Stegostoma tigrinum: one gene and its partner. The protein of the gene in region 2 purifies or fractionates together with the protein of the main gene of each other region. This does not show direct contact. Links are inferred from orthologs where the notes say so. Each region holds a gene or a part of one and is shown on either strand. Other genes may lie near its edges. The genes, in order: receptor tyrosine-protein kinase erbB-4-like and lrig1.

Region 1 (16,963 bases), on a different chromosome or scaffold from region 2:
AACGCCCGGTACTCTCGCATCGAATCATATCCAGAAGTGAACATATTAAAGCAACTGGCAAACACGCGCGGGTGAGAATTCTCTCGCTTCAGTCCTTGGTTAACTTGAGTTAACTGTTTGCTAACACTGATGCCATAAACAAAATTTACTTTGGTCGATAAAACGGCACAATAATAATCAGCTGCGTACACTTTTGCAACAGCAACTGAGATCATTCTCCGTACGAGTGTTGTTATCAGTACAAGTCACGGCCAGGCTCAATAGAATGCCGATTTTAGAATGTGTCTCGATGATAGGTCCGGTCCATTATTTTGAATTAAAGTTTAATCTTGATGTTTACGGAGGTGCTGCAAAATGGGAGATTTAAAGTCGTTTCGGTTGTCCTGAAGGGGTTTAATTTTTCTTCGTCACCTGCAAGACCCCCTCCCCCTGCCCACTACATTCCCATTGAAAGGCAACTCTGCAATATTGCCTGCTGTGTGAGCTGCAGTTTACCGGTTAGCTAACACTCAGACTGGCAAAAACTAGGAACCTGCCTTCCTTCTCGGGTCAGTGTTGCTCGTCACAGATACACAAATCTTTTCTGACCCTGTGGGAAGCGAATAATATATAAAAAAAGGCTTCTTCCTCTCCCGACAATGCACGGGCAGAGAGAAAAAAAAGTTTTGCCGATTTTTGTGTGGAGTCTCGCGGGACATTTGGGTGCCTCGGGCGACTGGAAAGCCCTGCTCCAGGTTAACAGGATCGGTCCCGGCTGCCCCAGGAGGTGGGCGAGAGTTCAAAACCGTCTCTCCCCATTACCGACAGCATGTTGTGAAGAAAATGGTCCCAGAGATCCCCCCCTCCCCCATGATCTCTCCCATCCACACACTCAAACCCAATACCTAAGCTTCCATCACAAGCACATCGTCCTGAGAGTTTGCAACCTTTACTGTGATGAGTTCGGCTGTCTCCGTGAAGCTCACGGGGCGTTGGAGAGCGCAATGAAGGAGCATTTGTTAGAATTCGCGTTGATTCCTAATTAGCTTTTAAAACAAAACCCGGCAGATTCGCGGAGTAAGTCCCGTTTGAAGTTCTGTTTGAAATCCCTGGGAGCAGTTCGATTTCAGGAATGCGGAATTCCACCATCAGACCCTCAACCCGCCGTATAGAAGGCAGGCAGCCGGGATAGGGGTGTGTGGTTAGCCAGGGTTAGTTGACTTCCCTCCTGGGTAAAATGACTTGCGTTCGTTTGCAACTCTGGCGGGTTGGGGGTAGGGGGAAGAGTTATTACTGTGAGAAACACAGGATAAGCGAGCACCCTGCCTCACCCATTACAACTGCCCATTCCTGACAGCTCACCCAGTTCACAAACAATTCGACTTCACCCGCTTTGGGTTACCCAATAATTTCCGGGCATTTGAAAATAAACACACACTCCGGTCGGGAGAGGGGGAGAGAAGGAGCGTTAAGGGAGTAAGTTAGCCGAGTTACTCACAATGAATGAAATGCTGAGGGTCAGTCACGAAGTGACTCATTAGGGAACTAACTGCGAGGAAGGAGCGGTGGGGAGTTTTGTAATGAATTCTTGAACGTCTGCTCTGTGGCGGGACGACAAGCCAGTGACTGGAGGTTTAGGTGGGCGGTGGGAGGGGATGGGTCTGTCTTTAGAAAGGAACAGTGGGCCACAGCTCTTTCCGAGAGACAGCGTAGCCCACAATGGGCCGATAGCCCCCGATGCGTCATTCCATAGCCAATAGCTTAGATTTTAATTCCCAGTGAAATGACCTATTTAGAAAGCCATTCGCTCACAGCGTAGTTCCGCTATAAATCACCTTTGACCCATTTGATACGAATGCACACTCCTTCAGGAGGTGAAAGAAAAATTGAGTGAGGCCATAAAACCCAAGTGGACAGGGTTGTTAAGAAGGCATATGGTGTTTTGGCTTTCATTAACAGGGGGATGAGTTTAAGAGTCGTGAGATCTTGTTGCAGCTCTATAAAACTTTGGTTAGACCGCACTTGGAATACTGCGTCCAGTTCTGGTCGCCCTATTATAGGAAAGATGTGGATGCTTTGGAGAGGGTTCAGAGGAGGTTTACCAGGATGCTGCCTGGACTGGAGGGCTTATTTTATGAAGAGAGGTTGACTGAGCTCGGACTCTTTTCATTGGAGAAAAGGAGGAGGAGAGGGGACTTAATTGAGGTATACAAGATAATGAGAGGCATAGAAGGAGTTGATAGCCAGAGACTATTTCCCAGGGCAGAAAAGGCTAACACGAGGGGTCATAGTTTTAAGCTGGTTGGAGGAAAGTATAGAAAGGATGTCAGAGGCGGGTTCTTTACACAGAGAGTTGAGAGCATGGAATGCGTTGCCAGCAGCAGTTGTGGAAGCAAGGTCATTGGGGACATTTAAGAGACTGCTGGACATGCATATGGTCACAGAAATTTGAGGGTGCATACATGAGGATCAATGGTCGGCACAACATCGTGGGCTGAAGGGCCTGTTCTGTGCTGTACTGTTCTATGTTCTAAAACATAGAAGTAGAAATTAGGCCATTCAACCCATCGAGCCTGTTCCACCATTCAGTCATGGGTGATAAGTTTCTCAACCTCATTCTCCCGCTTTCTCCCCGTAATCTTTGATTCCCTTGACAATCAAGAACCTGCCTATCTCCGTCTTAAATGTACTCGACGTGGCCTCCACAGCCTTCCGTGGCAATGAATTCCATAGATACACCACTCTCTGGCTGAAAAAGTTTTACCTCATCTCCGTTTTAAAAGGCCTTCCCTTTGCTCTAAGGCTGTGCCCTCGGGTTCTAGTCTCTCCTACCAATGGAAACATCTTCCAAACATCCGCTCTCTCCAGGCCATTCAGCCTGCTGTAAATTTCAATTTTGAGTCTATTATCTTAACATAAGGGAAAGCTCAGCAGGTCTTTGAGACTACCAGGTTTAGGGCTGAATGAACACAGCAGGCCAAGCAGCATCAGAGGGAGCAGGAAGACTGGCATTTCGAGCCTAGACCCTTCTTCAGAAATCCTACTGTCTCAGAGATCTTTGAGACCTACTGAGTTTGCCCTCTTCATTCACAGACACCTTATGTACGAACAATTACAGTCAAATGTTGATCAAAGCTGTCTGGGATAAACAGGTGATGTAGAGAGTGAGCTCCTGGGAGCTGAACAACGTCCACACACAGTCCTCGCGCTGCTAAACTCCGCTCTTTGTAACGGGCTCTGATTCCGATTCTCCAGTCCAGATTACTGAACTTTTACTGACTGTCATAATCTCAGTGAGTTCAACATTTTGCAAGCCACTCTCTCTTTCTTCCTCTCGCTGTCAGGTTTCGCGAGACGAGCCGGACGGAGCTGATATGAATCGCTATTCAAAGATTTATCAATTTCACATCCAGTCCGTGGCAGCTCGTTTTTTAAAAAAAAGAAGCGAAGCAATTAAAACTTTCAGCGGCCTTGAAAGGCTCGAGGTCTGCAATGATATCACATCCATTGACCTTTCTGAATTGTGGAAACGTTGAGAGAGAGGGAGAGAAGTCAGTTCCTTCACTACGCGATTGGGATTCCCTCCCTGTCTTTATCTGTAATTTATTGAACAAAGACAATCAGTTGGAACAAAATGTCAAAGCATTTCCTCTCTTTTTACACGGTTTAAATTCCATATTTCAAATGTTTGTCAGGAGGATTTTTTTTAGCATGCGAGTGAATGCATAATCTTCAGTTCAAATTGATTTGAATTCCCCTGATATATGTATATCGTGGAGAAACCTACTTTAAAGTGACACACGCCTCTTGGGCAGGGACGCCATCTCTATTGAGTGCAGTTCCCAACTCTGTCAGTGCTGTGCACCATCTCTTTGACAGCGATTTGCACTTTGAATATCTGGGTGAGCGAATGAGAGCTAGGAATATCTACGCACGCTTTGCCTGCTCTGTAAGACTGCACCGTGTCTCCGTGGCAGGCACTTTACCGCTGCCTCTCGATTTTGCAATAACAAATATATAAAACCATGTTAAAGCCTAAAAAAACTGCTTTTTAATCAACTTGTCAGTCTCCAGCATTGCAAGAGGAGGCAACAGGGAAGCGTTAGAGAGCCTGGAAGCACTAGAGACGATGCAGGGAAGATCAGACGATAATGATGTCACAGATGTTACAGGGAGAGTAAAGCCTCTTGCTGTGAGGCCAGACAAAGTCACCAAGAAATCCGGCTCGGGAGTAAAACATGCAGAAGTGCAGTCCTGGACGAATAGTGCAAGCTGTATAACCCAGACAGGGACACGGGCAGGAGGAGAGCCCAGTCCAGAGTTAGGATGGTGGGCTGAGCGATGGGGTGGAGGGCTTGGGTGAATTACAAAGATAGGAGCAGAGTGGCAACTGCGCTTCTGTGTTCAGGTTGCTGGCGGTGGAGGTGTGTGTGTGAATTAGGAAGATTCTCTGACTTGCCTAGTTCGATCTAGCCGTACTCTGCGGCCAGGCCTAGCGGATATACATTCAGGAATCCCTCCATTGTGGACGCAGGCTATTCGGTCCATCAACTCCACGCAGACCCTCCAAACAGGATCCCACCCAGACCCAACCCTACCCCTACAACCATAGTTTATCCCACCTAGCCTGCACATCCCTGAACACAATGGGCAATTTAGCATGGCCAACCCACCTAACCTGCACATCTGTGGGACGTTGGGAGCCCCCGGAGGAAACCCATGCAGACACGGGGAGAGTGTGCAAACTCCACACAGGCAGTCGCCTGGGGGTGGAATCGAACCCGGGTCTTTGGCGCTGTGAGGCAGCAGTGCTGGCCAGGAAGAATTGGACACACAGGTTCCTCAATATCACCTCTCCCGCGGGAGTAGCTGGGGCGGGGGTGGGGGGTGGTGGGAAGTGGTGAGGGGAGAGGAAGGTGGTTTATCTGGAGACTGGTGGCCACATCAAAAGGTGGGGGTGGGCAGAGTAGATGAAAGGTGCAGGCAAGAGGATGGGGAGATGAAGTTATGTCAGTGCAGCACAGTGAAAGCAGTAAAAACAGCCTGTGCCAGACAGTTCGAAAGGCTGGGCTGCACTGACTCATTGAACAGACTGTTCACTGTGGCCAGTGCCCAGTTCAGCTTCCTGTTTGCCCCATTCAGGGATGGGTTTCACCCCCCCCCCCCCCCGTCCAATCCCACCACAGATTCCGTGAGCAAAAGCCACGCCAGGCCGTGGTGGCCCAACGGGAAAGCCCCGTTACCAGCCGATGCCCCAGCTCAATCCCGATCTGCATTTTAAAAGGGGACCTTCTTGCTCCCGCATCAAGCCTGGCAAGGCGTAACCCATCTCGTCTCAACACCCCCGCGGCTCTATCCCGAGCGTGCGGTCTCAAGGAGCAAGCCATTCCCCAGAAAAGGCCGCGTCCTAAACTATTCCTGCAGGACTTGCCGTCCAGACTGTCCCTGTGGGGGAGATGGAGGGTTGGGTGGGCAGGGGTTGAGGGGGGGTGTGTTACTCTTGAGAAGTTGGCGAGCAGAAATCCCACGGCCCATCTGAGTTGAAACCAGCATGGGACCCTGGTGTTTACCAGCCGCCAACAGTCCCACCTGAAACCTGCCAGGGGAACCTCTTATCTACCTCTCGTCCCCGCTGATCTACCCATCAAATCACGAATCGCTCCTCTCCTGGAAGGCGCTTCCAATGTTTCAGTGACGGTGCCCCTTTATCATCCGCGACTGTCAGATGCGCCAGTTGATGCTCTCTGAGCAAAGCCGCTTTCTCAGCGCCTGGAAACATCCATCAAGATCTCAAAGCGTGGACAATCACTTGGGACTGCATGGGGGCGGGGGTGGTGGAGGAGGCTGATGACACTCTCCCAGCACTTGTTCTACATTGACCGGTGTTGACAAGTGAACGCTTACTCAAATAAACAAACAAATCACCCTCGTCAAAACCCGTAACTTGCCCATGGCTGTCTGCCTGGTGGGGCGGCTCAAGCTGTTTGTAAAGCAAACCGACGAAGCTTCTGTTGTGCACGATAGGTCTGACACAGGTCCCCTTCCACTCAGCCCCCTCACCCACCCAAACCACCTCACCCAGTCTAAGGGAAGATCATTTTTCACGTCAAGCACTGGGCAGTGCCGGGGTGAGGGTGGGGGGGGGGGGGGGTGGTGGTGGCGTGGGCGAGGGCGGAGGAAGTAGAGGGAAGACAGCCACAGTTTGGGCGAGAATGGTCAAGGCGAGGGGAAGGGTAAGCCGTGGGCAGCGTGTTCTTCTGGAGACGAGATGTTCAGCACTGTGTCTTGTACTGTGTGTGTGTCTGAGAAAGAGAGAGACTGTCATCTCTGGACTGTATTGCGTTGGCTTTTCTTCATCCTGACTGGGATCAGGCACAACAGCTGAGACAGAAAGGCTGAAAGAGATGGGGGCTAACTTTGCAGCTTTTCCCGGCTGAGGACAAAACAGGCTTGGGGATCTCTGATGTACTCCCCAACTCCTCTGGTTGTAATGTGCGCGCCCACTCCCATCTCATTCACTGAGGCTGGATGAACAATACACAAAAACTCTCCGCTTGTAACGACTGCCCGATCTTACGTGCGGGTCGAAAAAGCGCACAGCGACTCTCAGGTTCTCCCTTGTTTTTTTCTCTCGTTTAATGTGAACACGATGCAACCGAAGCCGCTGTTTCAACGAGCTCCAAAAGGCACGAAGGCGGCTTGGTGCCCGTCCAGCCACCCGTTCATCGTAACAGATCTCCCCCGGTCAGGTCATCCAAATGTAGCCGGACCCGACTTCAAAACACCCTGACAACTCACTTGGCCCCCCCATCGCATCGTTAAAAGTACTGCGCTCCCATCTAACTTCAAGCGTATCTAACAACGCAATGACAGGCTGTCTCTTTTTTTGTCTTTTAATTTGTTTAATCTCAAAGCAATTTAGTCGACGCTCCGTGGCATTTTGGTTTGGAGTTAACCCGGGTTCGTATCTCCCCACAATCTTAGACACAAGATACCGCAAAGTTCCCCGGCGGATTACAGCCGGCGTTCATACCACACTCTCAAGGCTACATGAGGCGCCCCGCTCCCCACATAACACGAACTGTCAGTTGCCTCCACATTAGATACTGTTACATGACTCAAAAGTTGCAAAACCCGTGAGGAACACTGAAGGTAAATTCACATTGTTGCTACACTTGTACGCCTCTTAGTAACCGCGGGGCGTGATTTTGTGTGGCACCAGAATAAAAACAATGCCTCTGCACAGACAACCATTTCAGACAGGAGCTAGGGCAATCGCAACGAAACTTTTCCCTCACACCCAACTTTGCCATGTCAATAATCGTGCCAGACAGACAACGCAGAGGAGGAAGGCGCTAACCGACACTAAACCGCACCCCCCCCCCCACTACAACCACCAACTACCAACCCTTTACACACGCACATATACACAAAAGCAAGAAAGGACAATGTGTCTCCTACCTGACTGTGAAATTACTTCCTGCACCTTCAACGTTGCACAGAAAACACTCACAAACAGAAGAGCGGCCAACTTCATTTTCTCCCAGTTATTTTTTTCTCTGGCCCCTCTCTCTGTGTTGGTACGGGAGCGGCTGTGTCAGACAGTCTGTGCATTCAAAGCAAAAAAAATTACATGACTACCACTGTATCCGCAGAAAGTGAGGGTTAACTTTTTTTGCTGTTGCTGCTGGGGGGTTTTTTGGGTTTGTTTGTAAGTTGCTCCCTCCTGTTGTCTCGGTGTTATGTTTTAAATTCAGAGCGCTGTTTCCGCGCTGGGGGTTCAGTGCTTCTGACCGGTCTATGTGCCAGGCTTGCTGCTCATTTTCTCTCTGTCTGTGCCCAGTGCAGCACTGCTGGATTGGTCGCTCTCGCCCAACAGAACCATGAACAAATTCCACTCCGGTGCCCCTCCCCGCCCCCCTATCAGCTTCATTGGCCACTTCACCAATCCGGCACCTGCCACCTCTCTAACCATTGGCTCCTCCGCACGTCCGTCAGGGAAAGTCGGCCACGCCCCACCACCTCCCCGCCTCCCGCCCCTCCAAAACACCCCACCCTCTCCAGGCAGGGCATTCAGGGATTTGTAGTTACAACTTTGTGACCATGCCATCGCTGCTACTTTCCGACTCGGAATTGTATAGGTGCTGACCGTTTTTTTAACCATGGTATAGTTTTGCGATGATCACTTCTCGGGATAATTGCCTGGTACATTGTGGAGATATGGGGACCTGTGCCCTGGGGAGAGAAGTCGTGGTGGAGGTGGGGGCGGGGGTTGGGTAGTCGTGGTGGGTTGGGATGCTACTCTAATCTGGGATTATGGGGTTGACTGAGCCCAAAAGCGTAACAAGTGTCGATCTTCGTTCGCATTCCTACAAACCTAGCCAGCTGCACAAACCGAGCAGTTTACAATCGTGTATTTTCACATCCCAGGCACAAATCATTCAGGTAACCCCAGCGTCCATTTGATTTACCATTCTGAATGTTATGCATTTGATTCCACACGGCGCATTCCCATGCATTCCCCGGACTTGCTGCATACAATGGCTATGTTCATTACTATGTGTGCATACCCAGAGTGTAGCCTTTTAGATCTGCATGCGGTCTCTCAACGCGTAACAAAAGCCCAGCATTTAATATACTGTCGTTTTAAACATTTCCCCGGAGAAGAACTTCAGCGTGGAACCCGAAAGATTCAGGGTTGACCCAAGTGACAAAACAAAAGTGTCTGGCGAGACAGCTCGCACACTTTTCAGACGCGCACTTTTTCTTGTGGCAAATTTCTCACAAGGCTTGGAAGCAAGCGATCGTTTGTAAACAGACGCAACGTGCCAGAAGGCGCAGTGCAATAAACACTCCCAATCGTGGACTTGCCATCTTCTGAATGTTTTTAACTGCAGACGATTTTACAACACACGCACGCTCAATATTTCATTGTTTGCTCCCTAAAGTGAGAAAATCGCAGGATGAACCGAATTAGAAACCAAAAGAAATTTTAAAAAACCCAAAACTACGCTTGTAAAGATAATTCGTGACAGTAGACGTTTTGTATTTTCCTCTCTTCCCCAGAAGTGTTATCACACACAACTGAGCGACATTACCTCACCAAAATCAGTGACTGTCTTTTTTTAAACGACTATCCGTTACCATTAAAAAAAAGGACCCCTGCGGTCACTTCGATATTTACATGCAAAGCTTGCTAAGGGCAATGCGAACCATCAGAAGTGACAACAGATGTTTTAGGAAAAAACTGAGAGCAGTAAATATTCACAACTGGGTTTTTTCTTTCAAAAAAAAGTGTCCCAGCCCGTGAGCAGTATAGGAGTTGGCGTTTCTGAGGAATTTTGCAAGTTTGGAGAATGCGTGTCGTCTCCATTAGACTTCTGCTGCATTCCAAGTGTGCCACCGACAGAAATGCTTCGCTCTTTTGACTTCGAATCTTGTACCCTGCATCGCAGTTTTACTTTACGGATATTGTCAATATGTCAGCGCTCCCTAGTGGTACGAGGGAATCTGAGGCAAATCGTATTCAAATCGCTGATTTAAAAAAACCCTTCGTTTTAATGACACCTTTATGATTTCTGAAAACCGCTTCAGCTTTTAATTTCCCAAGATGGCTCGGTTTTAATTTCTTCCCGGACTTTGCTCGATTTTATCTATCCAGAAATATTTGCAATCGTTTGCATTGTTTATTTTTGTTTTTTTCTCTCTGTGATTCTCGCAACATTTCCCGTGACCTTGAATTTAGCAAAATAAATGCGTATGAAATCTCCTATTTTAAACCTGAGGCAAATGAAAATATAATAACGTCTTGGGAGGTTTTGCATTTGGAAGTAGGGTTGTTCTGTGTCAAAGTCGGTGCCTTTACATGTTTCACGCACAAGCAATGTTCAGATTCTATTTGAACAATATTAACATTAGAGGCAAGAGTTTTGTTTTAGATGCATACATGGTGAAAGACGTCGCTATTTACAAAAAAGGTTTTCTCAAATGTTATTTAATTTTTGAATTGAAAATATTTCGGGCTCTGTCCATGTTTGTTTTCGTCCGGTTACTTTATTTACTTTTTACTATCAGCGTTTAGCTTTCCAGTTAACTGCTATTCCGAGGTGGCATTATAGCTCGCCTCCAAGGCAATAAATTCTCCGACGATTTCCAAATTTTCGATCACCAATAATGTCAGTAAGTGTGGATTTGTACAAGCTTATCATGACTGAGCATTGAGATCTGCTGTATTTTGGCTTCTGAATTTAAAAAAATCGACCAATTTTTAATGCTGGGGCGGCCTAATTTTGATTAAGTTTATTTGACCTCTTTTTCCCCATTTTTCAAGATTCTTCAGGCTCTGTCAATATTTGATTTTGACATTTTTCCTCACGTTCTCTTTGTGTCAAATTCATAATTAGGTTTGTTGTTTTGCAATTTCCTGGACTTTTTGAATTTCCAAGATTTGCTTAGGTTCACTAACATAAATATTTCCAAGCTCGATTCTTGCCCCCTTAATGTTTATGTGCTATTCTTTAAAACTATAAACTTTGTTGTATTTGTTACATCTTTCCAGGTCAGCTGTATGTTTGACGCGCCTGTTTTGATACTAATGAAGGCTAAACTACAATGTCAGTTTCATTTGCTACCGAGGCACTCTGTTTTTTTTCAGAAAAATATGTTTATAATTTTCGATTTCCTCAGATTTTGAAATTGGTTTCCACAGCTTTTGAGTGTTGCCGGTTTCCGGAACTGAGTGAACCTGGGTTTGGTGAATGAACAATGTGTTGGGTGGAGGAGGGCCGGGGAAAGACAGGGCGAGCAATCAATGACCAAACTGTTCATTCATGTCGGAGACGTTGAGTGCGAAACACGACGGGAACAATGGAGCAAGTATTCCAGAGACACCCTGTTGACGACGAAGCAACCAATGCTGAGTCCCTCATGCATTCAATGCTCATTATTGATCGCAGACTGACTGTTCCCAGCACGGACAGACATCATTTTGAGCAGGAGATGTTACAAATGCTCAGCGGCTCTAGCAGTATCTGTGGACAATTAACAAAGAAGAGTTCACTTTTCCTGACCTCTCTCGAGGACTGCACAGCCTGTAAAATTAACTCTTTGTAGCACTTATAAGAATCTAATTTCCATTTGGATGCATCCTTAAATACTGCTCCCAATACCTTCAGGCATATTCTTCATCCTTATCTTTGTCTATCAGTTAATCTCTTTTGAATGTTGGGCCCAATTGGAGAGATCCTGGCTTCAAAATCCACGATTTCGAAGAAAGAGAGCGCATTGTGTGACCGCACGCAGTATGGCCACTTTAGTATGGATCTATCCCAGCACAACTCAATTAATTAATTAATATTGTCATCGATAAGGCTTGTGAATGAAGTGCATTTTGATTGCATGCATAGAATGGTAAGATTGGACATCTCAGCTACAGTCCTGCAGACCCAGGCACCAGTTCCATGTGATCTGACCTCACAATGACATTGCCCCTTTTGCACATACTCAGTAACTATACCTAGAGTGAGGGTATAATTAACTCTAGAATTCTATTCAGTAGGATTGATGTGAGGAATCCTGTCTCCACGATAAGTATGGGCAAGGCTGACCTACAGGCCAACGGAGGTGCTAGGTCAGATCATAAAAGAAGCCAGCAGGTCTGCAGCAGCCAAGCAGTCTCTCTCTCTCTCTCTCTCTCTCTCTCGTTCAGTTCTCTGCAGTAAGCCACTTTAAGCCTGATGAAAGCCTCAGCAAATGCTGCAAGTTGGGACTTCAAATTGGACATGTCAGAGACCTTTCATAAGTGAACCTGTGACTCTTGCAAATCAGTGAAGGCATTTGGAAGAAGAAATCTTTGGATCAGAAGGAACCAACCCAAGAGATCTTGTGAAATTATACTGTGGAACTGTTTTCTAAATTTGCCCTCCATCCACGTGTGTCTCTTAACCCTGTTTATTTTTGTCTCTTGTATTTGTGTGTTTGTAAGAGAAAGTTTACAAGGGGTTTTGAGTTGTAATTTGAAGAGTTTTCTTAATTTAGTTGAATTGCTTATCTATAGCTAGAATCTAATCAGCTGTAATAATTAGTGACACTTACGAAGAATAGTACAGAACCTGGTCTGTGCTTTCTGTCAATCTGTGTCTAAAAATCAGGTAATGTGGATTATTTATATATTACTTTTCAAATCTTTAACTCTAGTGATGACTGCAGGAGGAGTGGGGTTTGATTTTCAGTGTGAATCACAACGACATGAGGAGCAACCTTTTTAGACATGAGAGTGATTAGTGTATGGAATGAACTGACAGAGAAAGTGGTGGATGCAGGTACAGGTACAACATTTAAAAGACATTTGGAAAAGTACATGAATAGGAAAAGTTTAGAGGGATATTGGCCAAACACAGTCAGCTGGGACTAGTTTAGTTTGGGAACACGGTCGACATGGAATAGTTGGACTGGAGGGTCTGTTTCCAAGTCGTATGACTCTAATAGTCAAATGCACCAAGGTGCTTGTCAGGACTGTTAGCTGAAGACATTTGCTTTGAACCACACAAAAATACAGGGCACCAAAAGCTTGATGAAATCACTTGTTTATTTGTAACAAGGAAGAAGGAGAGGGAGTTCGAGAGGCAGATGCTCAGGAAGAGGATTCTAAGGTTTTGGGCCCTACACACTTGGGAATCAAGACAAAACTGGAGAATATACTGGATTTTCACATGGAAGATTGGATGGGAAAAGCCAGGAAGCTGTCAACCTGTCACTTTCACGTTTTCTGTGTGTGCGTGCGTGTGTGTGTGTGTGTGTGTGAGAGAGAGAGAGACCGTGTGTGAGAGAGTGAGAGTGTGTGTGAGTGCGTGTGAAAGTTGTGTGTGTGTGTGTGTGTGTGTGTGTGTGAGAGAGAGGGAGAGAGTGTGTGTGTTTGTGTCTATGAAGGAGTGTGTGTGTCTGTGTGTGTGTGTGAGAGAGTGCGTGTGTGCGCACACGCACTGTCAATTCCCAAGTTCTAATTCCTAACATCGGGCATGTGAGCCTAGTCTAGGCCCGAAATGTCAGCTTTTGTGCTCCTGAGATGCTGCTTGGCCTGCTGTGTTCATCCAGCTCCACACTTTGTTATCTTGGATTCTCCAGCATCTGCAGCTCCCGTTATCTCTGGACATGTGAGCCTGCTGGTTTCCCAGGCTTCCTGAAACTTATGAATGAAATGGAGGTCAATACAGAGCAACAATTGAGGCAGTTTCAGCTAAAGATGTCAATAAGTACTCATTACTGCTTCCTTACCCACTCATGTTATTTCTGTTGAGAGGTTACTTGGTACTGTTTGAAGGCTCAGTGGCTGAGTGGCTGTGAATGCTGTTGTAGATTGGATCAATGAAAACATGGCCTTCTGGCTCACAGACCGGTAGCTGCACAGGACATAGGCCAGCATCAGACAAGCAGCCCAGCAGAGAGGTACAGCTTAAAACAGGCAATATCAATGAGACAGGATCTTCAGGCTGAAGGGCCTCCTGCAGTGCCATAATGATGCCACCCGAAGGTTGCAGGAACAGCAACCTATATTCCGCTTGGAAACCCTGCAGCCCAATGGTATCAATGTGGATTTCACAAACTTCAAAATCCCCCCACCCCCACTGCATCCCAAAACCAGCCCAGCTTGTCCCCGCCTCCCTAATCTGTTCTTCCTCTCACCTATCCCCTCCTCCCACCTCAAGTCGCACCTCCATTTCGTATCTATTAACCTCATCCTGCCCCTTTCACCTGCCCGTCCTCGCCGGACTGACCTATCCCCTCCCCACTTCCCCAACTCTCCTCTCCACCTATCTTCTCCTCTATCCAACTTCGGTCTGCCTCCCCTTCTCTCCCTATTTATTTTGGACCCTCTCCCCCTCCCCCATTTCTGATGAAGGGTCTAGGCCCGAAACGTCAGCTTTTGTGCTCCTAAGATGCTGCTTGGCCTGCTGTGTTCATCCAGCTCCACACTTTGTTGTCCTGAATTTAATTGACATTTCTGAGTAACAGTGCCTTTGGAGGCTGAGGGTGTCATGTCAGATGATGATAGCTGACTTTAAAAAAAGATCAATCATTTGCAAGAAATGGGTCCCCCTGACTAGGCCAGCATTTAATACCCATCCCTAATTGTCCAGAGAACACTTAAGAATCAGTCACATTGCCGTGGGTCTGAGTCACATACAGGTCAGACCAGGTAAAGATGACGGGTTCCTCCCTTAAAGAACATTAGTGAACTAGATAGGCTTTTCTGACAATCATCAATGGCTTCATGGTCATCATTAGATTCTTAGTTGTAAATTTTTATTGAATTCAAATTATAGCATCTGCCATGGCAACATTCAAACAGACAAGTCCACTCTCCCTCACATCTCTTTTACTGTAAGTACTCTATTCATTTCCAAGTTTCTCCACTTCCTTTGGTTTTATTTTGTGATAAAGTCTTCCATACTGATGTTTATATGGTTGTTACCTTTCTTTTCAAACAAGGATTCCTCCCCATCCTTGTTGACAGGGCCCTTGTTTGTGTTTGTCCCAATTTCAATGATTCAGCTCCAAAACCTTCCGCTTCGTTTGCCTCTTTGATATCCATGTCCATTCTTCAATCATCCCCAACAATCCCTACCTTTCCCATGGCATCTTTCCATGCAGGAGATGCAACACATATCATGCTCTCCTTGTAGCGCCCAAGGTCCCAAACACTCCACCATGTGAAACATAGTCTCCATCTTCTTCTTTGAATTTCAAATTGCCTGCTGTATACTGGGGAGACCAACCACACATTGAAATTGTATTGAATTGGCTTTATTGCCACATGTACTGAAATGAGTGCACTGATGAGTTTTCAACTCGCCGCTCATGGTGCCATCTTAGGTACAAGGTACCTAGGTATGGGTGTTACATTACAAATTCTGAGGAAAAATAATTTTAAAGATAAGAAAATACAATGTCCAGCATTACAGATTGTAGGAATAAATGAGAAAAGAGAGAAATAAGAAGTTCAGAATAATAGTCCTTCGAACCCAGTCCATGTTGGCACCTCGCCTCCAGTCCATGCTGGGCCATGACTCCAGGTTGTGCCAGGCTTCACCTCAAGGCTGGGAGGATGCTTCAGGACGGAATTCCATGCTGAGGTCATGTCAGTCCAAAAGGTTGCCATGAGTTGCCAAAAGACCACCCCGCTGGGCCGGGATCCACCATGGCAGGCTGGGACACTGTCATGCCAGGCTTGGAGGGTGCTGTGCCAGGCTGAAAGGACACCATGCCCAGCCAGGCGCTCTACAGAACACCTCCCTTCAATCCTCAAGCTTAGCCCTAGCTTCCCACCATTTTAATTCCCCACCTTGCTCGTTCTGTCATCTTTACTCTTTACTTGCATTACAGTGAAGCTCAATGCCAGCTCAGAAAACAACATCCTATCTTTCAACACAGTAGTTTACAGCCCTTGGTTATCACCATTGAGTTCAGCAGTTCCAAGCTGTAATCTCTGCCTTCACTTTGACTTTTCTTTATATTTGTAGGCCTTTATTTTGCTGTCTTAGCTTTGTTTCATTTTTCGCTTTAAGCTGTTTGCCATTTCAGCATTCACATCTCCTCTGGGCTGTATCCCTTACTTCTTAACATGTCCCATTACCGCTCTCTTGAGCCTTACACTACCAACCCTTCTGTTGTTAATTCTCATGAATTCTGCCCTGTCACAGACCTTACCTTTTGTTCCTTCCCCCGTTATTAGCTTAAAACTGTTGTCTGAGGAATCGTTTCGAAGCTGAAATGCTCACTATGTTTCACTCTTCACAGACTCTGCCTCATCTACTGTGTCTCAGGGTTCGTGTGAAGATTTGTAGCTCGGGTTGCAGATGGGCTGGTTGTAATTCAGACGTTTCGTCACCATGCTAAGTAACATCATCAATGCGGCCTCCGATGAAGCGATGTTGTTCTACTCCACTTGATATTTATGTGATCTGGTCTGTTGAGGTGTTTTGTGTCATTTCACTTTTTTGTAAGTGTTTGTATTTGGGATGTAATTCCACATGTTTATTGATTACATTATGGTCGGAGAACCAGGCCTCTAGGAATTCCCATGCATGTCTGTGGTTGGCTTGAGTTAGGATAGTCACGTCGTCCCAGTTAAATGTGGATGGTATTCGTGGATGACACATTTGTCATCATTAAACGCACTAAGTTAGAAGAGACACTCCACCCTCACTAGCAATGTATTCACCAGGATCAAATGTACAAGAGAAGAAGAAATCAACTTCTGTTCCCTGACAACAGGGGAGAATGAATGATGAACAGGAAATTCCAAACCACAGTATACAGGAAGTTAACCCACACTGATCAAATTCTCAATTTCCACAGCAATCAGCTCAATATCCACAAACAAAGCTGTGTCAGGACACTATTCAAATGGGCTGCAACACACCTTAACTTTGCAAGAAGTGGAAAGAACAGCTATACAAGGTCTTTGCTATCAATGGATACCCTACCAACTTCATCCGCAGATACTTACTAGATGGACAACACCAAGAGGACACAATAGTCCCAAGTAGCCTGCCGCACTACTGTATGTCAAGAACATATTGGAACTGACAACAACAACCACTAGGAATCAGGATAGCACACATGCCCACAGCTGCACTACAACAAATACTCACAAGGACTAAAGGCCGCATACCCACGACATGCAGGATCAACATAGTGTACAAAATACTATGAAAGGACTGCCAAAAACATTTCCTTCAGCCAGACAGCAAGGAAAATAGCCATCAGGATGCACAAACACAAGATAGCAGCAAAACAACATGACAAACCTTCCTTTATTTTATTGCAATTGGATAATGAAGGCCATCAATTTAACTGGGACGACATGACCATCCTAGCTCAAGCCAACCATAGACATGCATGCGAATTCCTTGAGGCCTGATTCTCCATCTGTAATGTAATCAATAAACATGTGAAATTCAACCCCAAATACAACCCTTTGCAA
Region 2 (17,008 bases):
GAGAGAGAGAGAAAGCAAGTGACAGAGCAAGCGAGTGAGCAACAGAACAAAGACAGAGCGAATGCAAGAGAGCAAACGACAGAGGGAGCGGAGAGAGAGAGAGCGCAACAGTGAATGGCAGAGGGAGTGGAGCAAGAGAACAACAGCAAACGTCAGAGTGAGTGACCGAGAGCGCAAGACACCAAGAGCAAAAGTAAACCACTTGGCCTTTTGAGCCTACTCTGCCACTAAATAGGATCATGGCTGATTTCATTGTAACCTCATTCATATTTCCACCTACCCCTAATAATCAGTCACTTCATCACTTACCAAGAATCCATCACTGCCTTAAAAATATTTAGATAACCTGCTTCCATGACCTTTTAAGCAATAAAGTTCCAAAGACTTGCGATGCTTTTAGAAAAAAAATTGCTTCATCTGTCTTAAATAGGCTACCCAACTTTTTTTGTTTAAAAAAGTGACCACTAATTTTTGATTATCTCGCAAGGACATGCATAAGAAGGAGAGAGTAGACATTTCATGTGCTTACTTTCATCACCTGTAAAAGACTTTTTCAAATGCTTTCTGGAAATCCCTATAGACATCCATTGTTGTTTGAGATAACAGAAATGTAAAGGGAAAGCGAACCACTTATGCAACAGAACTTATTATAATTACATTGAATAAATGAAAAAATGTGAAGTTTAATGAGATTTTCCACCATGAAGGTACAAAGCTCCAGCTTAGTACCAGAACGATTGCATATAACAAAAATGTACTGTAATTTTAAACACCACTCAAGATTTACTTGTCAAAACACATTCACACAATTGGTGCTTCCCTTAAATTCAGCATCAACACTTCTTTCACCCAGTACTTCCTGGAGCTCATTCAACTAGTTCAAACTATTTTTTTAAAAAAATTACAATAACCTGTATTAATGAATGGGTTTCAAGAAAAATACTAGTGAAATGATTTCCAAATGTATCTGATCAATTGTAGTTTTTTTTTAAAAAACATACCTACTCAGTGTACTGTACACTATGTAGATGACTTGCACTATTGTTTGTTCTATGTTGATTCTGTTACAAGTTACCAAACAATAAATCGCAAATTGGAAGAATAAGCAGTATTTAGAATTTTTTTTGTAATGTTAAATGTTATTCTTTTGAAATTTCAAAGCATTTGGCTGATGTAAATTTGAACTTGACATTAGAAGCTTTCAAGTCTAAAGAATAAATCCACAAAAAAAAATTCAAGCAAAACATAATTGTCAAATTTTAGGATTTAAGGATTTTAAAACAGTCTTCGACTGTTGTTAATATACACCAAAATCAAGGTCAGACATTAACTTTCTATAAGCCTACTTTCATAAAGGTATGCAAAATTCTAAAGGAAATTTAAACAAATGTACAGGCATGTGACTTCTTAACTCGTAATACTGTCTATGCGAAAAAACCAAAACTTTTGATGTTGAAATCTCATTTTTCCTCATACAATTAAGGAGAAACATACTAAGATTCAATTTCTGTGTAACTATGAATTAATAATATTTTCAAGTTTAAAGTACTTTTGAACTGGTGTGAAAGTTTTCTCTAGCAAAGGAATATATGCAGGTTGAAAAAGCTTTAGCCAAAACCTCTGATCAGACTTGGAAAATTACTATTTTTTGATTGCTTGCCAAGATAGAAGGTTTCTTTTTTAATCCAAACATCATGGACCAACATGGCACGTTTACAACTTGCTTTTTTATATCCAGGCTAGTAGTTTGTCAGCTATTGAAAACGGTAAATTTATAACATTGAATCACTATGGCACAAACCTTCCTGCAAACATTTCCCTGCAGATCACTCCTTGTTCAATGTACATTTACACAATGATTGTAAAACACGTTTGGAAGGAAGACTTCTCTACACTTTCTCAATTTGCATTTACCACAATGTAATTTTAAAGAGAGAAATAGAAATTCAGAAGCTCATGATCATAACCTGCATTACTTCAAACCAGTGCAAAATTTTATTTGACTAAAAGTTCAACAGAATTCTACAGTAGATGACAATAACAATTTTCGTCAGTGACTTCCATTCATGCAAAAATGTTTCTTTAAGCAATACAAACTTTCTTTGTCAATATGGGAATAGGGAAGAGAAAAATATTTTTTCAACTCAGGCTGTGGGAATTAAGAGAACTGAAAGTGGTAGAGAAATTGCATGTGTAATTCAAACCATTGGTCCTTAATTTTGAAAGGTTATTGGAATATATTCTACAGGTAATACAAAATTTCCTCAAAGCTGTTAATGGAAAAATTGAATCAGTGATAACGGGAACTGCAGATGCTGTAAAATCCAAGATGACAAGGTGTGGAGCTGGATGAACACAACAGGCCAAGCAGCATCTCAGGAGCACAAAAGCTGACGTTTCGGGCCTAGACCCTTCAGAGAGCTCTCTGATGAAGGGTCTAGGCCTGAAATGTCAGCTTTTGTGCTCCTGAGATGCTGCTTGGCCTGCTGTGTTCATCCAGCTCCGCATTTTGTTATAATGGAAAAATTGACTTTGGATGAACTACAAAACTAAATCACTGAATGATCACTGTAAAATGTCAATTTAGACTTTGAAAGTAGGGTCACAGGCAGGCAGGGTGGTGACTGCGGTGTTTGGCTTGCCTTCATTGGTCATAACATTGAGTAAGGAGCTGGGACGTCTTGTTGCAGCTGTACAGATCATTGGTGAGGCCGCGTTCAGTTCTGGTTGCCCTTCTGTACAAAGGGTGTTGTTAAACTGACAGAGTGTAGAAAAGATCTACAAAGATACTGCTGGGACTGGAGGCTTCGAGAGATAGGGTAAGGCTGAACAGGCTGGGCTTTGTTCCCTTGGACAGTCGGAGACTAAGGGGTGACCTGGGACGGCTTTAGACATTCGTGAAGGGCATGGATACAGTGAATCGCCAAAGCCATTTTCTGTGTGTATGTACACATGCGGAGCATGTGTGGTGCGGTGTGTGCGTGCGCACGTGTGGGTAGGAGGGTGGGAAAGAGAAAGTCCAAAACTAGAGGATGTAGGTTTAATGTACAAGGAGAGAAAGATTTAAAACGGACATAAGGGGTCATTTTTTCACACAGAGACATATGAATAGGAAGGGTTGAGATGGACATGGACCAAATGCTGGCAAATGAGACTTGGTCAGATTGGGTTGATACAGTGTGGAGCTGGAGGAACAAGTGACAGAGGAACAGGAGAGTCAATGTTTCAGGTCTAGACCCTTCATCAGGACACTGCTGTATTCCTCCTGCTCCACACTGTATCGACCCTGAATCCAGCACATGCAGTTCTTGCTACCTCCTAGATCAGATTGGGATGTCTGGTCGGCACAGATGAGTTGGACCAAAGGGTTTGTCTCTGTGTTATTTGACTATATGCAATGGCCTAGCTGTATTATTGCTGGACTGTTAATCCAGGGATACAGAAAATATTCTGGGGACTCAGGTTCAAATCCCACCACAGCAGATGGTGGAATTTGAAGTCAATATAAATATATGGAATTAAGAGTCTAATGATGACTATGAATCCGTTGTCAATCGAAGAAAGCCATCTGGTTCATTAATGTCCTTTAGGGAAGGAAACTGCTATCCTTACCTGGTCTGGCCTACATGTGACTCCAGATCCACAGCAATGTCGTTAACTCAGAAATGCTCTCTGGGCAATTAGGGGTGGGCAATAAATGCTGCAAAACCAGCAACACTCTCATCTCATTAATGATGAAGAAACTAGACAGTTGGCTCAAATCATTATTTGACTGTGGGATGCATCATAACCAATTATGCAGACATCCACTGTCCATTAATACTTCCGTTATGAGTCACTGACCAATGATCAGAAGAGGGAATTCTGATCAATGCTACCCTCCTCAAAAGCAAGCAGAGGTCAATATCACCCAGTTGAGATCAATAACATTGAATAAAGGGGAACTTATTATTACCTTATTTTTGGGCAGTTTATTTTAATAAACAAGTTTGCTAAGCCTTTAAGAGGAGTTTTTTTTAAGTTTTGCAAATCTTAAAAGGGTTGGCAAATAGTTCTGCCTTTTTGAGCAAAGGTAACAAAAAGCACTATATAATTTCAGAATTGAAATAATTTGTCACCAGACTCATTTTGGAAAAACAGTTTGTTTCTTATCGTCTCAAAATCCCCGTATTGTAAATAAATGTCGAAGGGAGTAACTCTTAGCAGTGCCCAGACAATATTGTTAAAGTGCATTCAAAAGTGAAAAATCTAAACGAACTAAGCTAACCACAAAGTCGCGAAAAGAGGCTAAGTTTCCTCGAAGATAGAAACCATGCAGGTTAACACTCGGATATATACTTCCACTTTAAATGCGTTTATACCAAGATTAGAAAAATCAAATGCCGGCATAGCTACAACACAACTTGCAAAGCTGCAACGAGCATTAGGACCATATGTGCACTGAATTCGACGCAGGCATGTTGCCAATCAACATCTCCGGGCAACAGCCAAGTGAATGAGAACCACGTCGCAGTGACAATGAACCGAGCAGTCTCTGGAAAAGCTATATCGCCAGCGAACACAAGTGAGCCGCCTAATTACCTAGTTATGGAATTAGCTCTCCAAAGATTTAGCCCCGTCACCCCGCAATAGCCAAGAAAGAAGAAGTTGCAAAAGATGCTACAATAAGTAAAGTCAAAGTTTAACAAAACACACAACAAATCACATTGAAGGTAAATTGCAAGAATTATCTTCGCTTGTTAATAGTTTGGTTAATATCCTGAACGAAGTGTCACGTATATATACAGTCTCCTTTTGTTTAATGGTCGATTCTTGTAAAACGCGCTGTTTAAGTGATTTGATAATGAAACCACAAGTTTCAAATAACTAAACCAATCCATTTTTCTTAATTTCTACCAACTATGGAATTTTCCACGGTCACCAATTTCAATCTCAAGTGACGCAAAACGCTGAGGAAAACTGACGATCCTTTATCCCATCATCTTACCAAAGCTAATTTTTCGTTCACATTTTGCTTCATAACAGTTACGAACCCCAACACTCGAAACTCAAAAATGCGAAGAACTACTGGCAAGACTACGATATCGCTGTACTAAAGTTGCACCCCTTTCAGCAGGCGAAAGAATGCAAAATAAACAAATCTATCAGGATTTTAGACTAGACAAATATGTAGATTGTATTCGGGATGAAAGAAATTCAAATGTCAACAAACCCTTACTTATTTTTCCATTGTGCAACAATTCAGAAGTGAGCACAACCCATGCTCGCTGCGAGGTCCGATACGTTACCACAAATAAATACCACATTCCTGAACTTGCATTGACGAACATGCATCGCTGTATATCAAGGAATAAGCAAAGCTCGCCTCTGAGAATAATTATAGTGTACAGGCATTTGAAAGTTAAGAAAGTGACCATATATTCGAATTTCTTTGAAAACTACAATGCCAACTATTCATGTCTACGATCGGTGTATTTGAGGCTGCGGTAAAGACCGTGAAGTCTGCAGCTTCAGTGCAATGTACACTAGGCGGTAAATGGTGGATTGCGCACTCCTCATCCCAATCCTGACAGGTCCTAGCAGATGATGAAAACACCTCGAGGGTACTTACAGGTAGACGACCCAAGAAGGCAGCTGGCGGGGAATCTGAGTCCAGGCCTGTTTGCTACAATCCAGCTGCTCCCCGCTGCACGTACAGCCCGGGATGCATTGCAAGGCCTCGGGGGTGACAGAACGACCGCCGCCTCCAGTTTCCGATTCCGTGCACGCGGCCGGCCGAGGGGTACTCAACGCCAGCAACAGGGGCAGCAGCAGCGCCGCCATCTTGCCTCGCACCGAGTGACCGCCGCTCCACGAACACAACCTAAGAGCTCCAGCCCACACACCGATCGGCTGAGTGAGGGTAGGTAACTCGCTCGCTCCCCTACTTCGAAAGAAAGCCGAGTTCAGCGGGAACTCCCCCGCCGTAGCCTCACAGAGTTGCTCCGCACTAATTTTCCCTGCTGACCATTTGCGAACAGCCGTTAATGTGAAGCCACTCGCGCTTGCCAGCCGCGACCCACGTTGGATGCAGCGGGGGCGTTCCATCCCTCCTTCCGTGCTATTGGTCCAACTTCCATATCATGTGAACAAACATTCATGACAATCCGTCATCTATTGGTTTTAAGGAACATCAATCAGAAATTGGCCGTAAGAGGGCGGGTCCCGGTGGGTCCCTCCCCGCCCTCGCATCCCCCTACCCTGCTCCCAGGCCCGGGTGTGAAAAGTCTCGCATTTCTTCCAGCCCCTCACTGCGTTTAAAGGGCAGTGCCCAGCGGGAGCCTCCTGTTGTCTTGACTGCACGCATCAGACAGAGAGGGAGAGCGCGCGATTTTAACGCTGTCATCTAACGCATTATTCACACTTTGAGAACCAAATGATATGTCCATGAGTTACAAAAACACACCTACCTGAATATGAAAATAGACTGCTATGGCTGTTCTAAGCAAACAGCTTCCATAAGCGGAGTAAATGTAAATTCTGAAATTCGAAAACAGCACGGCGCTTAATCGACCAGTTAATTTAGCAACCAGCTGAACTACGTGGAAAAGTTTCTTTTAGATACTTTTGATGTTTATAATGCGCCAAAGTTTCGGCGGTGTCTTCAGCAAAGGCCACAGGTACATGTCATGTTCAAGAAAACACTGCACAGTCTTGGAGGACATAGCTCGCTGTTAAGGTGGGCAGACAATAATTTCCGTCCTTTCTCAAGAGAAGCAAGTGAATTTATAACATTGTTAAATAGTTTATATCCTGATGGTGTTATAGCAACTCCTACCAGATACTTGTGCTAAAGCAATAATGACAGTTAGTTATAGGATAGGAATAATTTGAATATTCTGCAAAATTTCGAAAGATAAAACTCGATGAGAGCCGCCTTTAACTGACGAGTTTGTTATTTTCAAAACTTTGCTCCTTTTGGCAATCTACCCTTGCGATACAGAAATAAACAGCACATTTTCTCATATTTAAGTACGAGTAGTCAGTGCAAATATTAGAAACCGCACTTTGTTGAGCAAAATGGTACTTTTTTTTAAACCTTCGGCAACAATTTATATTTGTAATTGCAACATTATTCGTTCATTAATATATATGGAATTTGTGTGGTAGCTGTTAAAGTACTACACAAATGAGCAAAATCCATCCAGTTAGACTGGGAATCAGTTAATTTACACTCGTCAATGAATTGGGAACAGTTTGACAGCCGTCAGAGCGGATGGTTAAATGATACACAAAGGATCATAAGTATATACAGTGTTTTATTATGGCTCATGTTCGATCTGTTTATTGTTACAAACGCGGAATATAACTGATCTTTCTCCATTAAAAACGTGTCCAATAATATGAATGTGAGTAAGAATTTCTGCTGTTATATGTGCCGACTTGAAATGAATGTGTAAATTTCCCGAAACTGAGTTGATTTGCTCATATCACTTTCTCATTGGGGTCTTGTCGGAATCGTTGTCTTCAGAGAGTGGACATGGGTTGATCTGAGTGACAGCCGCAAATGATATGTCATTTAACTTGTTTCGTGACCGTACCGAATGAAAGCTACAGTAATCGTCAAAAAAAAATTAAATAAGTGATATCGATGAACAAGTTTTACAGAGGGAGTTTAGCGCTTAAAACACCGATATAAGGTCCAAAAGGGAGGCGAATGCCGGAAGTACAAGCACTGTACAGTAATAAAAGACACGTTATTCATTGGAAACGCACTAGCAATCATTCTAAAGCCCGGCCAGAATTCAGTTGTGACCGGAATGTGAAAAAAAAATCCACAACATGGACTTTCGCCTTTTAGAGTAAATTATCTAACATCTCTTTGCTTCCGTCCCGCTCTCTTTTCCATTTCGAAATTACACTAAATGGTCGAATGATAGCGCAATCCAAAAGTAACTAGCTTTTATTGGTCACCAAGTGAATTTCAATTTCATTGTTAGTAATATATACATGTATTTCACGCGCAGCATAGATGAATTTTCAAAATATTTTGATAATGGATTCGGTTATGGAAACTCGCTGCGAAAAAGAGCGTACAATGAATTGTTAGTCCTTGTATGAGAGTAAAAGACACGTCTGTTAACTCAAACCTTATCTTTACATTTCACGACTTACAGTCAAATGCGGAAGTACTTGATGGCTATCTAAATATGTATTTATAGCACAGCCCCAAATGGTGTAAAACTGATTGGGTTCCAGCTAGCAGAGCCTATTTGCATTGCTCAACTCCGACCTGGCTGAAAGTTCAGCTGTGCTATACTGAGGAGAGCGAGTGTGTTTGCGTGTGTCACTGATCATTTTTTCTGTACCTTTTGAAATTTTATGTATTTGAAAAACACGGATGGGAGTTGTGGCTCACTAATAACTTAAAACGGTGCCAGCTAAGTTTACAATCTATATACTGGACTCTTGGATATTTTACAAAGTTGTCAATCAGAAAATAGTCCAGTTGGGTTTACACTCCATCGTGTGTCCCACATAAAACGAACGAAACGATTTTCCCGAAGTTTTCCCTCTGTTTCACGCCAGGGTCTGGTTGAGGAAGTTTTACGTCAGCAGGTTAGGTCAGTGTAAAATAGAAATCTCTTCATTTGCAACGTGAGTGCCCAACATTGTGCTCATTGCAATACTGTCGTTAAAATTATTTTCAGATAAACATGTTGCATATTAATGTTCACAAAATATTTTCAACATGAGAGGATTTCAATTTTGTATTTTGTAATTGAAAAAGGCTTTCATTACCTTCAGTGGTAATTGTGATATGTGAGAATTTTGGGCTTCATAATTCATTAAACAATGAAGGTACTCCACGATATGTGGTTTCTGTTAATGAAGTAGTTGTTCACATTACATTCATGATAAATACTAGACAACTTTTTGTAAGAATAGTTATTATTATTTATAATTTGGTAATGTGAGGAGTAGATTCATAGTATATTGCAATAAATATTTAAAATATATTTGTTTGATGTTATTCATGCAATGATACATTATGCATGTTCTTTTTAATCAAGTGGCAGCAGGCCACATTTATTGACTATTCTCAAGTGCACTTGAGAAGGTGGTGTTGGTGGGCTTGACTCTTAAGTGGTTGGTGGCCCTGTGGTGAGGATCTCCATCCAACAATAAAAAGGAAATGGGAATATATTTCAAAGTCACAGTGGTATGTGACTTGGATGGTGTGCTGGAAGCAGAGAAACCTGAAAGCAGACCATGTCTTGATGAATTTGGCCATGGCTCGGTTCATTATCTGACCATGATATTAATATGGAGGAGTAATGACTCATTGTCTGAAGGAAGGAGGTCATGATACTCTACAGGATGTTTCCTTGCCTTGTTTATCCTGATGCCATGATACCTCATATTGTCTGGTGTCAATGTTGAAAATTCCTGTGGCCTCCCCTTCTGACTTTATTCAACTGTGCAGCCACTCCTGATGGGTTTCTCTTTTTGATGGTACTGAATAAAGCTCCTGATGGTGATGCAGGAGCCTGTGTATTTGAATGAAAGATATGTGTTGTGCTTATGTCAGGCCGTTGTCTGACTCATCTGTGGGAACTCTCTGTAAACTTTGAACTAGGTCCCCAAATAGTAGTGAGGAGGACTTTGCAGAGTTGAGTGGGCAGGGTATCTAACATGTTCACATGCAATATATAGGTGGACCTTGACATTAGTATTTTATATCTAAATAGTTGCAAGCTGTTGTTTCCCAACGTGGGAAATTGGACAAATAGTAAAAAGAAAGAAAAGTTAAAATGTTTTCCCACATGTTTGTACGTTTTAAATCTCTTTGGCAGTGTTTTTGTGTACATAGGCTCTGAATCTGTATGATTTAAGTAATTGCTTGCTTCTGTACTTTTCTTGGTGTATTGTCATCTTAGCATTTTACAGGAAGGTAAAAATAACAGAGCAATGCATAAACAATGCAAATGAAATAATTATAACCAGGAAATGCTAACTTAAGTTTTTATCTAATTTAAAAATAAATTTGCTAATCTTTCATTTGTGACACTTTAAATTATAGCTTTTCCTAATTGATTGGTGGTTAGTAATTATTTCAGCTGTTAGCATACAAAATAAATTTGAATAATGGTCAATCCTATGCAAAAGCCACCCCTGACGTCTGAGGGAGAAAATCATTCAATTCTTTATATGTCTCACCTTATGAGTTGATCCTGACATTTAGCAAGAAGAGTGCCAGGACAGATCACTTGAAGGTGCTGGGTAAATGTTTCAGATGGACTGGGGCATGTGCAAAATCTTAGAAGAAGCATATTGTCAAAGTGAGGCAGCAATTAGGCTAATAGGAGCACTGGTCCCTCTCTATTCCTGGTAAAAGTCTGGTCATCAGACATGAGGTATTATCCATGTTGTTGCATGTGGTTTTGATCTGGCCCATTTCCTGAGCCTGCACTACTGCAGTCACCAAAGCCATCTTCCACTTCACCTGGAGGTCAATGATGGACTGTGTCTGCAGGGACACCATGTACAAAGGTCTAGATAATTATGGGGAAGGACATACATACAATTGCTCTCATCTTGACGGCTAGGTTTGTGTGTGGCTGCAACAAACTGTGCGTAGACCCTGTGCAAACACCAAGTGTTACTATCGACTGAGGGTCTACATATCCGAGGTGTTTCAAAGGATGGGCCTGGCTGCGGAATGCTTCAAGTAGGTGGATCATTCCATATCATCCATCCTTTGTGGAAAAAGTTGAAAAGAAAAACACTTCTAACTTCAAGTCTATCAGGAAGTAGTCAGCTCATAACATTCTTAACACCCTGTGGGAAAAGGAGAAGGTTGGTCCTATCGCGTGGTTCCCTGAGCAGACTGTTAAAGTCATTTGGCAGAATGCTTCATTGTGAGAACTTTGTAACGAGCATCAAGATGTAACTTTTCTGGTAGTGAGAAGGGCACTGCCCTTCATGCACTCGCAGTTTCTGCGTGCTGTCAAAGCAGCTATGCTAGCGAAGAAATTAGCACATATCTCCTTCTGAAGGTGCCTCTGCAAAGAGGGAGATGCAATGATTTTTGTCAAGATTCATCAAGATCAGCTCCTTGATGCAGGACTCTGTGCTCTGTGGGCTGTTCCCCGGGACACGCACTGAGACAAACATCGACTGCACCCAGAAGACCATCAACTCAGTGAAAGACGCTTTATGGTCTGCCCAAAATCTGTTGGCCTTCTCGTGTAAAGAGTTGACCTTGACCAAGCGTTGCAGATTCGCGCATTCCAAGATCCGGGACTATTTGCTCAAGGGCATTCTAAAGTTTGGGGCAGCTGTTACCTGATTGCAGTGGGGAAAGACCAGCGTTTAAGGTATTTCTGGAAAAGTTTAATGAGGATCTGTTCAGTTATCAGACTCTCTCAATGTCTCAATGTATGTAAATAATCTCATGAATAAGAAAAGCATTGTTATTGCAACTGCAGGAAATGTCAAATTCCAATGTTTGTTTTTCTTGATACGCAAAGACTGTACAGAACCGATTTAGTACCTCTGAATGTAGATAGAGATTTTTTGATGATTAAGGTATATTTTTGCAATTAAAAAGGAAACTGCAAACCTCTTTACATTTCTCACCCACTTACAACTGAAATCAAGCTAACCTTGGAGCAAGCTTACTTGATAGAATCATATAATAGAGTATCTTGAAAGTGACTGTTCAGCCCCTTGCATCTGCGCACATGAACATGTAATGTCAAGGCTACCACAGCACTAACTTAAAAATACTTTGAACTACTTTTGAGGATGGGGTTCGCGGTAGTAGTCTGGCACCTTTGTAGTATGAAGGTCATGAGAGAAGATGAATTTCAACCTCACCAAAATGCTACTCAGTTTAAAGTTGACCTCTTACTTTTAACCAAAAACTTTGTGTGAGGAATATGACTTTTACATGTTTACCTTTAGTACAGTTTATTTCTGTGCTGTTATAATTCCTAGTATTTGTTGTTTGGTTATAATTCATGCAAAAGATTACTTCAGTTTGTTTAAGTTTTTTGTGCTCCCTTTCATTTGGAGGTGAATTTTCAGAAATGTTAAATTGTTTATGACATGTATTTATGTTTACTGTAGTGAGGTTAGTCTTTAGTTGTTATGGTTGTCATTGGAATATTGTGCAGCTGCAATAGAAGCAGAACAGAACAAAGAAGTGCAGATTCTGAAAACAAAAACATAAATTACTGGGGAAACTCAGATCTGGCAGCATCTGTTGAGAGAAAGCAGAGTTATCAATTCAACTTCAGTGACCCTTCCTCAGTTCTGCGGTGTCTCCACAGATGGTGCCCAACCTGCTGAATTTCTCCAGCGATAGAAGTGGGTCTGGCTTGGACTGAAAGGAAATATTTGAATTAGTACAGTGCGGCAAGTGTCAGAAATTGAAAAGAGTGCCAATTTGCAGACTTACAGATCTGTTAATGATGGGTTTGCTTTGTAATGATTATTTATACCACACAATTCCAAGATTTTGGCAAAATGTCAAGAATGGAAATCAATATCAATCCCTTTGTCACTTGGGGATCCTTCAGTTTTCAGGACTCAATATAGAGGTCAACCATTTTAGGGCCTTCTTTCGTATCATCTATCCACCCCCATAATGAGGGCCCTGTCACTACATGGGCTGCTTTAAGCAAAGCCAACCCGTTTTCACCCTCTTACAGTCCCCATTATCAGCTTTTCTTTCTTTGGCTTACCATCATCTATCACTGTATCTGCCTAACTGCGCCTGTAGGTTTTGTGTCCACTTAGCACTTACTCCTTTATGCCCAGCTCTGTGACCCTGTTCCCCTGCCCCAGCATCTTCAGTGTATACATTGCATTTTATTAGCTACTATCAGCTCTGAAGGCTCACTGGACTCAAAAAGTAAACTGCTTTCTCTCCACAAATCCTGCTCGACCTGCTGAGTTTCTCCAGCAATTTCTGTTTTTGTTTTTAAGTAAATCCAAGCCAGGATGGAATGTGACTTAGTGTATAAATATATATATATATAGAAATGAAGATAGTACACTGATGCATTGAAGCATGCTGGCTGTTCTGTATGCATCAACAATTTAAGATGGATTGTATCCTTGAAATTGGTTATCATATGACTGTGAGGTCTTGGATATTTTTGAATATCAAATCTCAAAAGTTAATGACTCTAGAATTATTGAAAATAATTTATTTTGTTACTTAAATATTGTGTTATCTTAGATAAGATTATAAGTAAGTGTAAATTGTAGTGGTGGTTATATAATACCTTTAGATTGGATGGTTGAGACACGATCTGCATAAAACCACACAAAGTTTAATAGGTACAACAGCAGAAAAATACTTGTCAAAATTAAACCCTGTGTGATGGATTATAAGGGCCTCTGAGACCATTACAATGAGGAATTGATTTTTTTTTTCTGTACACCATGACCTGAAGCTGTTTTAAAAATCTAACTGTGCTTCTTTTGAAAAGCATCAAGCAACTGAAGGCTCTTCAGTAGAACAGAAACAATTCTTTGCAAATTTTAGGAAGCGGTATCTTAAACAAAGTTAAGAAAATAATTCAGTAACTTTCAAAGGTTATTATTTTTACCATAAGTAGATATAACAGGTTAAGGAATAATTTGCAAGAATCTTTTACTTGAAAAGTAAGAACATGTTTTTGTGCTATCAAAGTACTACGGAATACAATAGAATGTATAATTTTAAAGATGCTGAAAGTAAAGAAGGTTTCTTTATTTGTTAAATCTGGGAATTCTGCTAGGTTACAGCACTCTAGGCTATTGTGGGTCCAGATTTAACTCTCTTTGTACAGCTCAGTGTAACTCATTACAGTATTAGTAGTATAATGGATTTTTGATAACACATAATTCATTCCAAATGGACATCCAAAGCTGAAATTGGTGTCTTAAAGGCACTCACATGTGTTCCCATTTTAAAGGTTTAAAGGTTGAGTTTACTCCTCCATGTTGGTCTGTTTATTGGGGAAAAATCTTCTTTCATTATTACATTATGAGGACATGTGACAACAAATCCTTACTTCAACAGTTCATTCATAGATGTTATACTGTTTTGGAGACCATAAACAGTGGTAGCTGTCTGCAAGATACTAATGTTACACTGGGACTGAGTTAATGGTATTACGTATTGTTGACATATCAGTTTGGAAAGTAGTGTAAAGGGGTGTGATGGTGAGGGGGGCGTGGAGGTAGTGTCTCAGTGGGAGACTGTCTATTAGCACATAGTAGGCAAATCAGAGAGTAATGGAATTAGCAGGCAACCAGCTCAACTAGTTAAGTTGATCAGATTCTAGAAGGCTGAAAACTCTGTTCACCTATTTGCGAACGTCATAAAAATATGAAGTATTTAAAATGCAGTTACCTCTTTCCTATTTTTATTCTAATACTCTCGCTTCACAAAGATAGTGACTTTAACTGGTACTACTTTCTTCACATGCCTCCAAGAGGATTTGCAATGATGTGATATGGATTTGGTGGGATATACATGCATGCGCAAACATACACATCCAGCAGGAATCACTATACCATGATTGGTGGAAGATATCTTACTATATGTGGGAGCACTGCACATCTCCAGTTCTGTTCAGCTAACTTAACACTGAGTCGAGAGTCAAATCAAATTTCTGTTTTGGTCTGTTTATTCGGCGGAAAAAAAAACACCCTGTTTCATTATTACATTAAGAGGACATGTGATAACAAATCCTAAATTCAAAGATAGATTCAGAGATGTTCTACCAATTTAGAAACCAAAAACAGCGGTAGCTGCCTGCAAGATGCAATGGTTACACTGGGATTGAGCTAATAGTGTTACCTGTTGCTGATATATCACCGTTTGGAAATTAGTGTAAAGTGATGCGGTGACCTTCACTGCTGCTCTTGAGCAAGGATCAAATCCTGCTTTTGCACCATCCTCTTAGGAGGACAGTCCAGGTTCCTGCCTGCGAAGCTTAGTGATGATTTCCTCCTGTCTTCCATGCTCAGGAGAAATATTGGGTACCGTGCTGGGCAGCTCCAGATTGACAGCGCTGCCCAGGTGGACACTGCTTTCACAAACGGCATAGGTGCAAGTGATACCAGTGAATTCTGGGCTTCCATGGATTCCAGAATTCCAGGATTCCTTGATTCCAAAAACGTCTCAGTGGCGAGGTTTTCTGGGAGTTGTGTGTGGTAAAGTGGAACTAGAATTGAACATGGTGGATGTTGTAACATGGTAAGGAGTTAACCTGGCAAATTTGGTAAGATGCGACAGGGGAACTCATTTGACCTCGCAGCAAAAAGCCTTCCAAAACCTCAACACAACTCGGACTCAGCCAACAAAAAATGTAAGATTAAACCCGTAGAAATTAGGCAGGCGATAAATTCTATAGGCATGGATAACTTAGATGAAAATTGGTTATTTAACTCAAGTTACGTTAGAAGACATGCAAAATCAAAGAATCTCCAGAGCAACTAAGAAGTTGAAGAAAAGATGAATTCTGTGATCAATCCACAGAATAATAATTGTGTTAAATCTTTTCTGAGGAAGGGTTAGTGGACTTAAAACGTTAACTATTTTTTCTTCAGAAATGCTGCCGAACATGCTAAGCTTTTTTCAGCAAAGCCTGTTTTTGCACAAAATAAGAAATATGTTCATAGTAAATACCCCTATTAATGTATTGACTAGCCTCCCATTGAATGTAATGACTCCTTTTAAATATAACTAGGTATGTAGTTGGTTAAGCATTGTTTGTAATTTATTATTATATATCTGCAAATGATGTTGGCACTTGTAGAGCAGAGATTTTGCTGGAGTAAAATATTTACTAAAGATTTAGCGTCTTATTAAATGACAATATGAGGCCAATGATATATTTCACACTGACTTTTCCTCTCGCACAATCAGTTCCCTTCTTCTGGAGATTATATGAGCTAGGAGAGATCCATAAATGGATAATTAAACATGATTCGGGAAAATAAGGGATTTCTTTTCATACGTACGCCTCTAAGCGTATTTACTACGTGTTTAACATCAAACAATGGAAGGAAAGAAACAACCAGGAGCCTTCCAAATCTATTTCTCCCATTGTGATTTTTGCCAAAGCTAGTCAGTTTTACCGCTGAGAACAATAATTGGCAATATTGCAATACAAAAGTGCAGAGTAACATATGCATTGTAAAACCGAGCATGCTTTTCTACCTGTGTAATATAATATAATATGTAATAAATGCTGTTATTTTATGTATTTACCAGTCCACAAAGGACCTGAATCATTATCTGCCGTTAACAAATTGAATAAGATGTTGCATTTGTATCATATATTGTTCTTGAATAATTCATGGATTTGTTTTGCCCATATATCCTGAAAGAAAAGCCTAGTCCTGGAACTTCTGTTGAGGAGAATTGCACAAACACACTTGCCAGTTCACCAGAGAGCCACCAAATGCCCACATTTGGATTGAGTGTTAAAACTAGAACTGAATACTTCATATTCAACATTTATAATTACTAATTAGTTTTAACTTGGGATTTAAGCTAATTGAATGGAGCAATATCATGTTATGTGCTGTGCACTTGTTCATTCACTGGCTCATAGTCTGCTGAAGTTCAACCTAAATACTCTTCTTGACAGTTTTAAATTAGTGGTGATTTACCATTGCCTTCCCCCTCCAGGGCTGAGTGAGGTAGTAGACCCCTGTTTACCTCAGCTCTAATTGCAAACTGAACTGATGATTTTGGTCCTATTCCAAGCCACATTCCAGCCATCTGAACTAACTGGCCCTGTCTAGACAATTGCACTACGTCTAAACAAAATATATAGATTAATTCATAGTCATGGAGATGTACAGCATAGAAACAGATCCTTTGGTCCAACTTGTCCACGCCAGCCAGATACCCTGAGTTAATCTAGTCCTATTTGCCATCATTTGGCCCATATCCTTCTAAATCCTTCCTATTTATATCCCTATCCAGATGTCTTTTAAAAGTTGTAATTGTACC

Evidence for each region.
Region 1: the proteins of lrig1 (region 2) and receptor tyrosine-protein kinase erbB-4-like purify together in Homo sapiens (affinity purification with western blotting; 3 studies listed by BioGRID and IntAct, with this or other methods). This does not show direct contact. The link is inferred for Stegostoma tigrinum from reciprocal best matches to the Homo sapiens genes LRIG1 and ERBB4.

What each region holds. Positions count from the first base shown.
Region 1 is NC_081360.1:9,776,459-9,793,421, forward strand, and holds the start of receptor tyrosine-protein kinase erbB-4-like, read right to left. Parts: upstream 7,825-16,963; 5' UTR 7,517-7,824; coding exon 7,441-7,516; intron 1-7,440. UniProt on the Homo sapiens protein: Tyrosine-protein kinase that plays an essential role as cell surface receptor for neuregulins and EGF family members and regulates development of the heart, the central nervous system and the mammary gland, gene transcription, cell proliferation, differentiation, migration and apoptosis.
Region 2 is NC_081364.1:45,971,323-45,988,330, reverse strand, and holds the start of lrig1 (leucine-rich repeats and immunoglobulin-like domains protein 1), read right to left. Parts: upstream 6,081-17,008; 5' UTR 5,824-6,080; coding exon 5,612-5,823; intron 1-5,611. UniProt on the Homo sapiens protein: Acts as a feedback negative regulator of signaling by receptor tyrosine kinases, through a mechanism that involves enhancement of receptor ubiquitination and accelerated intracellular degradation.